2 linked regions of the Caenorhabditis elegans genome follow. Each later gene encodes a partner of the first gene's protein in a complex. Each region holds a gene or a part of one and is shown on either strand. Other genes may lie near its edges.

Region 1 (8,628 bases):
GTTGGTGGAACAGACAATCCTCACTTTGTTGGAGATATCGGAATATACGTCTCATCAGTTAATAGCGAGTCAAAATCATATGGAGTCGTAAGAACAGGCGATAAAATTTTGTCGGTTAGTTTCCGATTAAAGTAATTATTAATTTAAATTGTTCCAATGTTTAGTTTGACGGTATCGATATGACCTACAAGACACACGATGAAGCTGTGGAAGTATTTCGAAGTGTTAAAATCGGTCATGTGGCTAAAATGTTGATTGATCGAGAATACTTACATCTTCAAGAAGATCGAACACAAACTCCAACTGCTTCTGTTTCAATTACTCCTCAAGTCACTCCACAGACTCGTAGTACTCAGAATAATACAGACACACCAAAGTCGATGTCGCATTCGGAATCAAAAAGCCGTTTGACGTCTCATGGACTTTCGGCTGTTATAGAAAGGTAAATTTTAAAATTTTTCTGAATTTATTTCTTATTGATTTTCAGAATTCGTGGAAAAGTTTACGAAGAAGAAGATGCTCAAAGTGTTACTTCCTATGCTCCTTCCACTCATTCCATCATTGACGATGTACCGAGAACACCACGTAAACCACTTAGTCTTTTGGATCCGAGAAAGTAAGTTTTATTAATCGGAAATTAAAAAATTCGCGATTTTTATTATTAAAATCTGACTGGACAGAAAAAAAAAATTAAATATTATTATTTGGTAAATAAATTTTTTTGGTGAAATTTTGGTAAATAAATTTGTCGAGAAATGACGAGAAATTCACTTGCATCATCCCATAAGCCTAAAAATTGAAATTGTATTGAAATAAACATTTACGTGTGAATTTAAATTAAAATATTGAGTAAAAAACATTTTGGGGGGGCAGAAATCGGAAAAGTACCAAATGATAACTTTCAGCAATTCTTGGCTAACCGAAGCTTTGTATGTTTCAATCGGTCTTGGAGCATTGACTATCTCTGGATACCTTGCCTACAGATTCATCAGAGGACGCCGTTGATCTTTTTCTCCCCATTTTCTGAATTAAATACTTGTAATATTAATTGTATTACCTCTCTCTCTCTCTGCTTTCTTCTCTTTTTTCTCGGTTTGTTCAATATTCAATTCAATTTTCTCTGTTATTCATCTGTTTCACTTCGTGACAATTTTTGGTGCTAAGTATAATGCGTATTATTGCGATGTAGAATAGGAAAAAAGTAAAATTCATAGATAACAATCCCACAGGTATAAAATAGAACTCCCAGCTTCTCGGTCAAAAAAGTTAATATTCAAATGTTCTTTACATTTTATCGACGTTTTAGTGCGAGTGGTGGGAATATTTTAGCCTTTTTTCTCTCTGAATCTTTCTCATTCTTCTCGCTCCATTATTTCGCACTAAGTGCTGCTCAAGTACCATTTCTATTCCGATTCTCTTTTTTTGTGAGCCATAATAATGAATATTGAACGTTTGTAATTTTATTTTTCTCCGATTTCAACACTGTCTCTTGCAGATTATTATATTTACTATCAAAATTTTTAGTTTTTTACTAATTCTTATTTCCAGAAATGATTCACAAATGAAATCAATGGATGACCGAACAGTAGGTCTTATATCTGCAAGTTCATCAAGAGCTTCACTCAAAATTCAACCGGAGATTGGTTATCCAAGAATATGTGATTATTGTCAGCCAATTATCGAGCTTATGACGGCTTCCGAGTTTGCACGACATATTCGACAAGATCATACGACAAAAGAAGGTGGTAGCTTTCTTTGTAGGTATGTTTTAAAAAATTTTGAAAAATAAAAATTCTAAATATAATTTTAAATCACAGTCAAGGGTGTCATCGAACATTTTTCGTTAACTATATTTTTTCAAGAGAATCGAAAAATCGAAAAAATAAATTTTTTCGATTTTCTGGAAAATAAAAAAAAACCATAAAATTACTTTTTTAAAAATCACATTTTGTTTATATTGATGAAAAAAAGAAACAATTGTGTTTTTTTTATTTAAAATTAAAAATCGAAAATGAAAAAAAAGTATTTTTGCTCAAGAAACTCAAAATCGAAACATATAAAATAAAAACTTTCAGAAAACTAACCATAAAATTCAATTTTTTAAATTTAAATTTGAAAAATAAACAAATTTCTTCTAAAAATAAGAAAAAAAACCAAAATTTGAAAAATTGAAAACCGAAATTTTTCGATTGTTCAAAAATCAATAACAAGATTTTTTGTTAATTTTGAAGAACGGTTTTATATTTTCTGCAATTTATCGTTTGAAATATTCTAATTATTTAGATACGGAGAACATGGAGTATGTCAGAAACTACCACTGGAAGGAGTATGTGATCTTGATTTTGAAGCCCACATTCGTCGTTGTCACACTTCTTCTCAACCAGCTGGATATTCAAGTCCAACATCTTCATTGGTAGCAAGTTATACTGAAGATAGTGAAGAAACAGCTAGTTTGAGAAGTATACGATTGACAAGTGATCGAGATACTCCAACAATTGAAAAGAAAAAATTCACTCTTCACAGGTGAGTTCGTTTTATTTCGTTTTCGAATATATTTCAAGAGAGAGAATCATGTAGATCACAGGAATAGGTTATTATTGGGAATGGGGGAACAAAAGGAAAAAAAAAGTGAGGGAAAAAGAGAAAAAGAAGATGATTAACAACCTGAGAGGAACAACTAATTTAAAATTATGAAATTAAGAACCAGTAATTGAAGTTTGATCGATCTAACAATATAGTCAACGTTTTTAAGCTCGTGGATTAGAACTGTATCCTTGTGCATTGCCTCCATCCTGAAAAATTATCAAATTTAAGATAATTTTAGTATAGTAAAATAGAGGTGAAAAGTGACTCATGTGACAGTGCTTGCCTTATCAAGAGATGCTTGACGTGAATTTGGCTTAGAGCCCATCTTCTTCGGTTGTTCCGGTGATCCGGCTGGGAAAAATTCGGCGAACGGATTCTCTGCCAATGACATCTTCTTTCTCTCAGTTCCGTTGTCAATTGTGAAGTCACCATCCTCGTCTCCCTCGTCCTGTGCATTTATTAGAGTGGAAACGTGTTTGAAAAGTTTTTTGAAGTGGAAAAGATTTGTGTAGGAAAAGTGTTCAAAAATAAGAAAGTAATGTGTTCTCGTGAATTTCAATGCACAGATGCAGTGTCTTTCGAGTGAATGAAAATAATTGAAAGAAATGAGAAGAATAAATCTCATAATTATTGAAAATACAAACTCACTATTTTTGCATTATTTCTTATTAACAGTCTAAAATGGGTTTCATTTAATATATAATAGTTCACTAAATATTTAGTTCCATATCAATCATTTCATTGACCTACCTTTTTATCAAAAGTATTTCCCTTCTTGAGAATTCTCTCATTAACAATCTTCTTTGTGAAGTAGGTGTAAGAATATGTTACGAGTTGGATAAGTGACAAAATCGAAAGTCCAAGCCACATTCCAATGGATCCTCCCAATGCAGCGATAAACGAGGTGGCACTATATTTCCATTGTTGTTCCATAGTCAGATATTCGAATGGACCCCAGGAAAGTTCAACAAGTGTTAAATCAGGACGAAGCATACGTCCTTTTACAGAGTGATCAACCTCGAATCTAATTTGACGGCAATCGGGGAAACATTTGTTGGCGCATTCTGTGTCAGAGTAGTTACCCTTTTGAACACTGAAAAATGGTACTTGAAATCTGAAAATATGTGTCTGGAACTTACTCGACAGTACATTGTGTATAGTCACACAATGGGAAGATTTCCATGTCTTCTTTTTTCGCTAGGTAACTTAATGAAAGTGGAGTACAATGACAAGCATCACGGATCATCTCCATACGGCAACGAGATCGGCAATTGAACTCACTGTCTTCTCCGTCTTCTACATCACGGCATCTTGTACCTTGTTCGTCATTTTCTAACATTTGATAGAGTGCAGTGACATGAGCTGTTACCTCGTGACGCTGTCCCAAACAAACCTGAATAATTGCTTTTGCATACACCGAACCATTATTTTTGTTTCTGGTTTTACCTCATCAACGTATCCATCTCTAGATCTACCCTTTCCTTCCATGAATCTGTTCAATGATGATGGTCTTCCATGGAAATCTACGGACATACAGTCAATTTTTTGACCTTCAGTATTCTCAGCGTTATGAGAAAGAAGCATGTCAAAGAACACTCCCTGGTCGTCAATAGTCTTAAAATTGTCTTGATCGAATTCTGGCTGGAAGCAGATTTGCATCTGGGAAATCCAAGAAATGCGAAGTTTCGTTTTGATCACAGTTTCATCATCATCAAACGTGCGTCTTCTGAATCTTTGCATTGAACGGCGAAGAACTTCAATTCCAGTCTTTTGAGTGAACTCATCGAATGTGATTCCACGAGAGTCGAGAATATCTCTCCATTTCTTGAACGTTTTTCTCTTTGCCGCAAGTCTTGGAGCGTTTTTAAACACGTGAATGGAACGTGCTGATCCATGAGCAGTTGTCTCTCTTTCCAAACTACTATATGTAGCAATCATGTCGTATGCTTCCATTACAAGTCGATAATCCCATGGAGTCTTCATAAATGCGTCGTGATCAGTCATATTTGCAAGATTTTCATCAACAACTGCATCCCACTCATCCGCGGGCGCAGTAAGATTCAATTTGAAATGGGACCAGGCTTGTTGTCGAGACATGCAGAAAGTAACATTTGGCATTGTCATTGATTCATTGAAAACGATGTTGATGTCCGATTCTTTTGGATAGTCAAAGTATTCCTCGAACTGTAAATTCGTCGTTTGAAATTAGGAACTACAATTTTAATTGAACAGAAGGGAAATACTAATGTGATAATGAGAGGTAATTACTTACCAGGTCGAATACATCTTTGACGGTGAGAACAGCCAGAAAAGCGACAATAAATACGAAGGCATACTTTCTAGCACGTCTTCCGAACAGCGCATCCTTCCATGAATGTGGTTTATCATCTTCTGGATGAGCTTGATTTTTTGGTATATCATGCATCTCGACGGACGTCTGATCCTTTACCTTGGCACCCATTCTGAAATGTAGAATTAAGAATGGAAGATGTAATTGAAAGAGCAGGATGTTTTTGAAAATTGACTATATAAATCTTCACATCTAACTAATTTGACACAAGTGTTTACTGAAAAATTGTGGCTGAAAAATGAATAGCCAGACAACCTGAAACATGACTTTCAACTGATGAGATGAAGTCAAGAGAAGGCGAAAAACGGGCGGGAATGACGCTCAGAACAGTAATTCGAATTATTGGTTTTGAGAGCGTTGGGAAAGATGGAAAAACGATGAAAATCGTTGGAGTAGGAGGGTCAAAGTTAGGTGATGGTCACGCCTTCTTCTTCATCTTAGTTTCTGTTTTCTACAGGCTATTCATTGGAACAAAATATCAAGACCAAGGAGTTGTAACCAGTGTTAACGTACTGTAAAAACACGCGTCAAAACCAGGAACTTTGAGAAACTAATATTTTGAAATAACTGATTGTAACATCAAGACGAACGGTATCCGATGGGACAAGAACCTGATTTTGGACAAACGGAAAGCAGTGGAATGTGAAAAAGAGAGACCTGATATCAACTAAAACCGGCATTATTTGGACGACGGTGTGTACCTGAATAGGGAAAAATGGTGATTTTAGGTCTTGAGGGATACCAAATGTTTTCCCTTCAATGAATTCCGAACTACAATTTTTTAAAAATCACGGGACGCGGAACTGATTTAACTACGTTAACTTTCAAACAAAACACAGAATTGGACGTTTAAATATATAAACATTTCTAGAGAATTATTGAATATCTATTACATTATCGTAATTCTAATAGACACGGTGCATAACCGAAAAGAAGATTGCGACATTTTTTTAAACTATAAAGTTATGTCTTGTGATAACAATCACCACACCTTTCGGATCGGATTGTGTCAAAATTGGAAAATTCTGTCCTCTACTATGTCCTCTAACTGTTTCTTAGTAGTTGCCATTTTCAAATTTTTCACTTCAAGTTTTTTGTGTAATCAATTGAAATTTGGAAATTCTGACACAGAATCTGAAGAATTGTTTCAACTTTTCAAGTTCTTCAGGTCATTTGATTTGATTAAAAAATGACTGAATGAGGTGAAACCTCTTTTTAATTTCATCTTTCCTCCCCCTACAAACATCTCTATCCCTATCTCTCTCTCTTTTTTCCAAAAACAGTGATTTTCAATTGACCAGTGGCAATTTAGACGTTGTCGCCGCAAAATCACTCGTTATCAGGCGAAGTAAGAAATTATAGTGATGGACCGGGACAGTCTTCAGGTAAAAAACGGAGAGAAAAAGAATTGGATGACCTTTGGTTTGAATTTGATATCAAAGGCGCAGAAATTGATGGTAGGCAAACGGGACACTCCATCCACTTAGAAATGGGCAAAATAGAACAGTGAAGCGAACGAGAATTTGATGAAAATAGGGAAAGGAAGAAATAACCTATAGATTTAGCGTAAACATGGGCAGAAAGTTAATTTATATTGAGACTTTGATGTGGAAACTAGGATAATTACAGTATTTCTTAAGTTGAAACAATTGACACTTCCAATATCTAAATTTTCAGTTTCACTCAAAATCTGTCAGCAGTTCTTGCCGATCCATCACGATCTCGAAGTGACCTAACAACGTTCTTCACACGCCATTGGGGTGACAGTTTTGTTCCAACACAACCGGTACCACAATCTAAAAGACTCGCTCGGCTCGCTGATTCGGCTTTCGATAGTTATTGTCAATCTGCTGGAGAGGTGATAAGATCTTTTATTTATTTATTTTTTTTATTTTTAAATATTTACAGTCCTATCGTCGATATCAGGCAATCAAAAGAGCTCTACGTTTGAGTCACGCCGATGGAGGAGTTGGAATTGGAGATGAAAGACAAGATGCGGAAGATCTGCCTACGGTATGTAGAAAAACGAATACTACCAAAAAAAATCTTCCTTTAAATGGAATTTATCTTAAACATGGATTACGGTCAGTAAGGAAATGAATGAAAACCATTCCTTTGATGCTAAAATGGCCAAATATCAGAATAAAACGTTTCAAAAATTTTTGACAATTATTTCAGTGAGTTTGTGCAACTTTTAAAAAAATCTAACGCACATTCGTATATTCGAACCCTTAAAATGTTGGAATAAGAATATTTTAAACCTGATTAGAACATAAAACTGGAAGCAAAAAAGTTTTTGATCGATGACTTCCATCCAAGTGGTAAAAAATGAATTTTCACCGCTTTTTGACTCAAAATAAAAAAAAAATCAAATTTTTTGCAAAGCTAATAATCATGATATTTGGCCGTTTTGGCACAATTGGAATAGTTTTTAACCATTTCTCTACCATCTAAACTCAACCTTTAAAAATTCAAATAACACAAAAATTCTAAAATAGAACTAAAAAAAATTGAATCAGTATTTAAAAATAAACGAACCTCTTAAATCTTCTTCTCCGTTGTTCTTCTTGATATGCTTTCTCATCTTCATAGATTGTATGACCAAGTGCCATAATCATGATTACCTACTTATTAGTTGTTGTAATTGACTTTAGCAAAATTGTTGGTCTCGAATTAATTGTTTGGTGTCACTTTTGTTAAAATTTCCACTTTCTTCTCGCATAATTGAAAATGTGGAAACAGGGAATGAAAATATAAGTAGCAAAGAATTTTGTTGTTAATTAATACTTGACATTCAGTAATTGAAAATTGAACCAAAAAACGTTAATTTTGATCAAACGCTTTAGAGATACTGATCGAATAGTGTTTAGGACAGAGCTGGGTAGTCGCAGTTGTTTCTGTTATACTTTTTCTTTTTTTTGCAATCACTTTACGACGGAGCGAACGAACAGCCGAAAGATAGATGAGACGAAGAGATAGAGAAGAATCGGCTCAGTGAGATATCTATTATCTGAATCACTTCTAGATTTCGTGTTTTCCTCCTGTGATCAAGTGTAGGTACTGATTGACAAATTGACATCTTGTTGGCACAAGTGGACACATCTGGTTGACCAACGGAAATGTAGGAAGATGCGAAACAAGTTTCTATATCAAACATACTAATGTAAGATTGGGAATGGATACTTGATAATTTTTCCAGAAATTGTTATGGCTGAATGATCAGTAAGCAGGAATAACTGGGAAAACTATTTCTGTTTTTAAAAATGTATTTTTACTTACTAGAAATATTTCCATTTATCTAGGAACACATTTTTCAAACAGTTAAAAAAACTTAGTTTGCTTTAGAGATCACATTTTTAATTTTTAGTTTTCAAAACGTCTGTCTTTGTATAACTTTATCCTATACAATCACCAGTAAGTATCTACTTCCTAGCCAATGCCCATTATTCCCACAATTCATTGAAAAAGTACGAAATCTGAGATAGACGTATTCTATTCGGTCAGCTGTTCTTTTACTATTATCAGCTAGTTTGTTTGATGTTTGTGATCTTTTCCGTCCCGTTTTTTTTCATAGAGTGAGGGTGGAAAGAGACAGCTGTCGGCTCTTTTTAAACGACGACTCAAAGCTCATTGAGCTCATGGAACGGCCGGAGCGCCAAGTGATCATGAAATTTCGAAAATTTTATTGTGGC
Region 2 (7,109 bases), on another chromosome or scaffold:
TCCCTTCACAAGAGGTATGTTGCGCAACACACCTGCTCACTGTGATATAATCTTTCTCTCTTCAGATTCTGTCTCGCGATTCGGTTACCGTTTCTGTTGACGCAGTTGTCTACTTCAAGGTGTTTGACCCAATCACTTCGGTAAACTAAACAGCTGGTACGGTTCAATCTAATTTGGAATTTTTAGGTCGTCGGAGTTGGCAATGCGACCGACTCTACCAAACTTTTGGCTCAAACCACCCTCCGTACAATTCTCGGTACCCATACCCTTTCAGAAATTCTATCCGACCGTGAGAAAATCTCCGCCGACATGAAAATCTCGCTCGATGAAGCTACAGAGCCATGGGGAATCAAGGTTGAACGTGTCGAGCTTCGCGATGTCCGTCTTCCATCTCAAATGCAACGTGCTATGGCTGCTGAAGCCGAGGCTACTCGTGATGCTGGAGCAAAGGTGAGCCGACATGATGAGCATAGCAAAATGCGGGGGACCAATAATTATTAATTTCGATTGCAATTAATTTCAGATTATCGCTGCCGAAGGAGAATTAAGAGCATCTGCCGCTCTTGCTGAAGCCGCCACCATCATTTCAAAAAGCGAGGGAGCCATGCAGCTTCGATATCTGCACACACTCAATGCTATCAGGTAATGGAAGCGCACTATCAACTTTTAACTAACAAAATAAAATTTCAGTTCCGAGAAAACCAGCACAATCATCTTCCCGTTCCCAATGGAGATTCTCGGAGGAATCAGCAAGGTTGGTTCAGGAGGCACATCTCAGAACTTTCCAGTTCAAGAAATGATGAATGCCGCCCTTCAATCCATTCAACGTCAGGATACAGTTCCAGCCACCGCATCTTCCTCAGGAAGCCGACTCTGATTCCAAGCAACGCAAAATGAGCTACAGTTTCGTCAAAAAACAAAACAAGGATCAACTCGAAGCATATTGATAATCTCTTTCCTGTTTGAAGTATTTTTTTTTAACTATTAAACTGTATTATTCAACTGTATAACACTTAATATTTATACTCGATTTCCACCTCATTCACTTCCAAATTGCACATATCGGTTGTCAAGGCATATCTTTGAGAGGTTGTCTGAAAGACTTCCGATTTTGCTCCAAATTTTTTCAGTCATTTTTCTCATCATAATAATAATATATATATGATTCTCCACGTTCCATTGTATTTTTCAAGTGTATTTTTCCAAGAAAATGAAGGAAGCCATATAGTTTAGAAATTTGTCTAATTTTTTGTAAAACGGGAAATATTTGAATCGAAGGATTCAAAAAGTTTTGAGAAATTTTTTATTTCGAGCCTAATGCGCTGAAAACTAGGTTTTCACCAATTATTATGAAAGTCTTTGATCAGAAAAATTCATATTTTCACTTATTTTTTCACTAAACAAAAATCCAAATTTCAATATTGTTGGGGTTTGAAGATTTAATAGTGTTTTAGATTTCTCGTAGCGAATTGTCAAAAATATACCAAATAGATAAATTAAATTCTCTATAAAAATTCAAAAATCCACACATTCTCATTTTTCCAATTGTTCTGCATAACCTCCTTGGCGAGCATTTTCCTCGCCTTCCTCGCACACAAGCACACCATTATTCTAAACACCGCGCGGGGTGTAAAAAGCGGAGCATCGTTTAACGACGTGTTACCAATTGTTTTTTCTTTGGTTTATCGCTATTTTTTATTTATTAACGTTAGTTATTCATCAAAATTTTTATTGAAACAATTTCAGCACAAATAATGCCTCGAACACGTGTCAACTTGCAAAAATCCGAGGCAAATGACCGTAGTTTCACAATATCGTCGCTAGAATTTTGTTTATCGCAATTGCGAAAAGCAGATCCGAATTTGGTGAAAAAAGCAATTGCTTCTGGTGACGGACTAACCGAGTCGAAAAGTATGTCTCTAAATGTCAACATTTGAAAAATCAATAATTCAGACGACGTCAGCACGCGGCTATCGGAGGCACATCGTTATTCTGTTCAACAGTGTCTTGATAACTCTGAGCAGTTGGCTCAACTCCATAATCAACTTGTGCATTGTGATAATGTTTTTGAAGTAAGTATATTGTAAAAATTGCCAATATATAAATCAGTCGACTATTTAATTAAACTTTTTAGCGCTTGCAAGCAACATTGTACAGTTTTCAAGACAATCTAGGATCAATTGGGCAGGATATGAAAAATTTGCAGCTACAGTCGCATCATATTCATCAAGTAAATTAATTTTCCAATTTCAACGTACTATAATCTTCTCAGGAACTGGAAAACCGGCAAAAAGTTAGAGTCGAGCTGAGCCAATTTGTAGACGATATTGCTGTTTCTCAAACGATGATGAAAACTATCAACGACACTGATGCAAATGACAGGGGTTTTTTGGAAGCGCTCCACGAGTTACACCACAAAATAACCTTAATTTTGCAAAGGGGAAATGGAGATGCGGTAGCGGTAAACGACACTATGCCGATTTTGGAAGGACTAAAGCTTAAGGTTGGGTGTTTTTTTTTTTACAAAAGTTTACATTTCAAAAATGTTTTTTTTCAGGCGGTTGTAAAAGTGAGGGAATGGTTGCTTCAGAAAATGTTCCAATTCCGTAAACCTCTGTCCAACTACCAAGTTTTTCAACACCAGCTTCTCAAATGCCGATTTTTCTACGAATTCCTGTTGCACCATGACTTGATCTCTGCCAAGGAACTTCAAGACGAGTACATTGACACCATCAGCAAGATGTTCTTCACGTATTTCAAAGCATACGCCACACGCCTGTTCAAACTTGCGGTAGGTTGAGACACATTTTTCAAGTATATTCACCAGAGTAATTATTTAAGATGAAAGACGTGGCCACCAAAGAAGACGCTTTGGGAAGTATTGATTTTGCAAAACCCGCTGGATTAGGCGCAATTTTCTCGTCGAAACAACACGTTGTTCGGAATAAGGCAACCGTTTTTTCGATTGGGCAACGACATCAAATTCTCTCTGACGACTTTTTAGGAGCCTTGATTGTTCCCCACGCAGCTACGCAGAACCATCAATCGGTATACCTTACAATAGAACTGGTAGGGACCAAATTAAATTATATTTTCAGTATCAATTTGAAGCACTATTTCGTTCTATTCAACTGGCATTTGTCGATCACTACAGCCATGAGTACCTCTTTATTACCGACTTTTTCCTTGTCAGCAATGATGAAGCCATTGAACTGCATAACAAGGTATGTTACGAGGACCTGGAAAGACCTAATATCTATTACGTAGTAATGTTACATTTACAATAGTTGTTTGCCTTTTCACTACCGGAAAAAAGCTTATAATTGCTTTCAGGCTATGGCTCGAGCAATGTCAGTTGTGCTCAAAAGCTGCGAGGAGCAAATCGCCCTTAGTTGGGACGCCATCAGTCTTCATCTGTGCATTTGTCTATGTGACAAGTTTACCGAAGTGCTCGCCGAGAGAGAGGTACCAGAAGTTAGCGATTATTGGAATACTGTCACAAGCTTCCTTTGGACCCGCCTCAATTTGGTCATGTCTCAACACTACGAAAGTGTCAAATCTGTTGATTTGAAGAAGTTGATGCATAGCGGTTCACTTGATGCAAGACCGCATTTCGTAAGTTTTTGATTGTTTTTTATAATCAAAAAAATTCAGATGTTACAGATAGTCCGACGGTACGCCGAACTGACAAGTGCACATTTGATGATAGCAAAAGCAAGTGGAAAGGAAATGGGTGCAAAGATGGAAGCTGTCTTGGAGAACAGTGAAGACTCTATTGAACAACTATTGACTCGAATGTCAGCTATGCAGCAAACTCAGAAAAATAAGCACGTCTTTCTGATTAACAATTACGATCTTATTCTTTCGATTATCGATAACGAGGAAAGCAAGCATACAAAGATTTATGCAATTGTCCATGAGCTTGAACAAAAAAGTATTGATGATTTTGTTGAAGAGATGCTAGAGCCACATATTGGGTACATGATTAAATTTGTCAACGAGTGTGAATCTCTGATTGTTCAAGGTCATACACAACTCTTAGTTCGATATAATGGCAAGTTGTCATATATAATTTTCTATTCTCTAATATTTTAATTTCAGACAAAGTTGGAACGGTGGTAGCAAACTTCAATGCAAAGTGGAGACCTGCAGTGGACAGTATTAATTCAGAATGCATACAACTTTTCACTAACTTCAGCCTGGGAACCACCATTTTACAGGTTAAAATTTATTTCCTAGAGCCGAATTTCAGTTTTAACTAGATGATTTCAGACAATCTTCACAAAGTACGTTCAGTATATCAATAGATTCACAAAGATTCTGTCCCATGACGTATTTGCTAAAAATCCCGTGTGTTCCCAGTTAGTCAACGTTCATCAAGTGATGCTCGAAATCAAACGGTTCAAACCAGCATATTAAGAAAAATATTGCCAATGTTATTTTATTTTCCCGTGTAGACTTTGTAAATTAAATAATTTATTGATTCCCACTTACTTGAGTATTTTTTTATATATATTTTTACCCACTGGCAGCTTTATGCATGCAAAAAATGTTGAATAAAATGTTTATATATTTATTTTATTTAAATAACCATTACATAGTATTTGACAAAAATCACATAATATCGAGAACACAGATTTGGACCTGACTGGAAGGTGGGAATTGAGACAAAAATACATTAATTGAAGTGATTAGGCAAATGCAATTCCTTCGTATTTGTATGGACCATGAAGAAGATATTCGTCAAGAATAACATTACCATGAATGTCGAAAACACTTGCATAACTTGCTACTGGTTTTCCATCCTGGAATACAATTTTATAAACCGAGCATTGAGATTAACGGATTTTGTTTTTAAAATTGTGTAGATAAAACCTGTTACTTACCTTTTCCTCCGACTTGATGGCAACGATGAGCTGGTGATGAGTGTTTGGCACAAATTGGAAAGCAGCAAACCCTCTGGATTTGTTATTCTCCGATCCTACTCGCACAACCTCAAAATCAGTCAACTCTTCATTTCCAATCACAAGAACGTTTGTTCCGCGGTTCTCGTCCTCCGCCTCAGAATACTTCTCATTTGACATTCTACGTGGAAGGAAGAACCATTTTCTGTGAATTGCAGACCATTGAACAGCTTCGTGAATCATGTATCCGGGATATTCGATCCCAGCAGCTCTACGAACGCGGATATATACATCCTTCCAGTTTTCGTGATGAACGGCTCCGTGAGCAGAGACATGCTTCACCCACATTGGGTGATCGTTCACATAAACTCCGTCAGTGGTCGTCCATTCTTTTCCCAATCCTCCAACAATCAATTCGGTATCCTTAACAGTGATCCATTCTCCTTTAAATCCCTTCACGACGTTTCCTGGCCCATCGTTCAGTAATACCCAGGGAAGTGCCTTCAAAACAATATTATATTTTTTAAAAATCAATCCACTACACAAATATCATTGTTTAACCACTCATCACTCACCTTCTTGTCACTAATTTGATAAATAAGACCTGTTCTATCGTCAATTGAGTACAGTTTACCATTGAAGACGGCAAGGTCAGACAACTCCATAGCGCGTCCACCGGCGGCAATATTTCTAAAATGATGATTTTAGTAATGAAGTCAAAACAAAAAAATCTATAAAAACACATTTTGTAAACTTACGTGTCAACATAGTACTCCGAGTCTTTGTCAAAATGAATATCGGCATGCTTGTGGTCTGCAGAAACCTGAAATATAAATTTGAAAATTTCCTATAGCGATTCGAAAAAAGCAAGTTGCATTTTATAAAAATCATATTGGTCAAGCTGAGCATAATGCATTAGTTTCTTGCCGTCCTTCTCACCTTCAAAAATCCACGAGAGACCAAACTTTTCCACTTCTTCCCGTCTTTGCTGTCATGATCCAAATCGGTGATCAACATTATTGAGTATTCTTTTGCTCCATCATCAAACTTCTTTACCGAATACAAGTTAGCATGGTTGATGTGCTGTAAATGGATATGTGCGCAATCAGCTGAAAATGTAAAGAGTTACCTCTTCCTGTTCGCTAGATTTGTTGAATTGGGTACCCGAATAAAAGGCAATAGCGGTCACAAACCCGAAAAGAAGGAAGTTGAAAAAGTTTGAGTTACTTTCTTGTGTCATACCTAAAAATTATTTTTGTGAGTCTTAATTATAAGCATTAATTGAAAGTAAGAGATTTGAGAAAATATAAGTAGAATAAAAAAATAAAAAATGGTGTAGTTTTCCGAGAGTACTTCACGGCCGCGTGGCCTAGTTTTTTCAATGGGGACTCGATATTAATAACGAACACAAGTGCGTGTCCCAAATTGCATTTGCTTTATTGAGTGAGATATCGTGGCTGTGAAGTGGCAAAATATTTCGAGAACCGTTAATTAAACAATTTTATACATTTTTAAATAATGAATTCAAAATGATGCAAAATAAATTTAAAAAAACGTACAACTTCTAGAACAACGAACAATTGAGCTGTCTCGCTATCATCATCTTATCATTTTTGCTATCAAAAAATCGGTTGTGGGTTGTCGTAACACATCACAGAAGAAAGATTGATTGTGAGAGAGCCGGACAACATTTGTGCTAGCGGTCAATGTCTTTCCCGCTTAACATGGTCCCAATTGTACGATTGACCAGGAATCGATATTTCAGGGAAAGAAGAAAATACCAACAAGACATGACGAGAACAGTATTTATAGAGTGTGTCTGAGTGCGTTGGAAACACACGATTTTTGTGCTTTGTAGTCAATTGTAGTTTATGTTGAACACAAAACGAGTTTCTGCTGCTGACCGTCTTTATAACGAGCGTCTTAAAAATGTGAGGAAAAGACAAAATGACAAGAAATGAGAAAACGATAACACTAAAGAAAAACGTTGATTTAGTTGAAAGAAAGAAATATGAGTTATATGAAAGAACCATATCGAATATACATTTTGAAGGACAAATATTGTTAAAGCTAGCCGATGTTGAAATATATATATATTTTACAAGATCTGGATAGATTTAAATACTAAATTAGAAAAATTTTAAATACTCAGGGGTTGCTCAGAATCGCGGAGTCACGTATCCGCTTGTTCTTGGGAATAAATAG

Evidence for each region. Proteins that work in one complex are often made in the same cells at the same time.
Region 2: vps-54 (region 1) and vps-52 share a complex: the UniProt entries of both Caenorhabditis elegans proteins name them as parts of the golgi-associated retrograde protein (GARP) complex.

What each region holds. Positions count from the first base shown.
Region 1 is NC_003283.11:10,569,340-10,577,967, reverse strand, and holds the start of vps-54 (Vacuolar protein sorting-associated protein 54), read left to right. Parts: upstream 1-1,548; 5' UTR 1,549-1,561; coding exon 1,562-1,761; intron 1,762-2,283; coding exon 2,284-2,523; exon of another isoform or gene 2,524-2,747; coding exon of another isoform or gene 2,748-2,792; intron 2,793-2,869; coding exon of another isoform or gene 2,870-3,034; intron 3,035-3,234; exon of another isoform or gene 3,235-3,244; coding exon of another isoform or gene 3,245-3,262; intron 3,263-3,336; coding exon of another isoform or gene 3,337-3,679; intron 3,680-3,725; coding exon of another isoform or gene 3,726-3,979; intron 3,980-4,032; coding exon of another isoform or gene 4,033-4,770; intron 4,771-4,858; coding exon of another isoform or gene 4,859-5,047; exon of another isoform or gene 5,048-5,054; intron 5,055-6,613; coding exon 6,614-6,794; intron 6,795-6,844; coding exon 6,845-6,949; intron 6,950-7,951; exon of another isoform or gene 7,952-8,088; intron 8,089-8,628. Other genes in the region: mics-1 (PDZ domain-containing protein), read left to right, coding at 1-114, 165-442, 488-616, 906-1,005; del-6 (Amiloride-sensitive sodium channel), read right to left, coding at 2,748-2,792, 2,870-3,034, 3,337-3,679, 3,726-3,979, 4,033-4,770, 4,859-5,047. UniProt on the Caenorhabditis elegans protein: Acts as a component of the GARP complex that is involved in retrograde transport from early and late endosomes to the trans-Golgi network (TGN). The GARP complex facilitates tethering as well as SNARE complex assembly at the Golgi.
Region 2 is NC_003284.9:7,563,577-7,570,685, forward strand, and holds vps-52 (Vacuolar protein sorting-associated protein 52 homolog), read left to right. Parts: upstream 1-1,746; 5' UTR 1,747-1,754; coding exon 1,755-1,911; intron 1,912-1,953; coding exon 1,954-2,072; intron 2,073-2,134; coding exon 2,135-2,230; intron 2,231-2,272; coding exon 2,273-2,503; intron 2,504-2,557; coding exon 2,558-2,791; intron 2,792-2,841; coding exon 2,842-3,048; intron 3,049-3,098; coding exon 3,099-3,224; intron 3,225-3,333; coding exon 3,334-3,615; intron 3,616-3,663; coding exon 3,664-4,054; intron 4,055-4,101; coding exon 4,102-4,220; intron 4,221-4,272; coding exon 4,273-4,419; 3' UTR 4,420-4,569; downstream 4,570-7,109. Other genes in the region: sto-1 (Stomatin-1), read left to right, coding at 1-14, 66-140, 187-450, 524-642, 691-877; Apyrase apy-1, read right to left, coding at 4,692-4,805, 4,887-5,405, 5,480-5,594, 5,663-5,727, 5,844-5,987, 6,034-6,144; Zinc finger protein unc-98, read right to left, coding at 7,064-7,109. UniProt on the Caenorhabditis elegans protein: Acts as a component of the GARP complex that is involved in retrograde transport from early and late endosomes to the trans-Golgi network (TGN). The GARP complex facilitates tethering as well as SNARE complex assembly at the Golgi.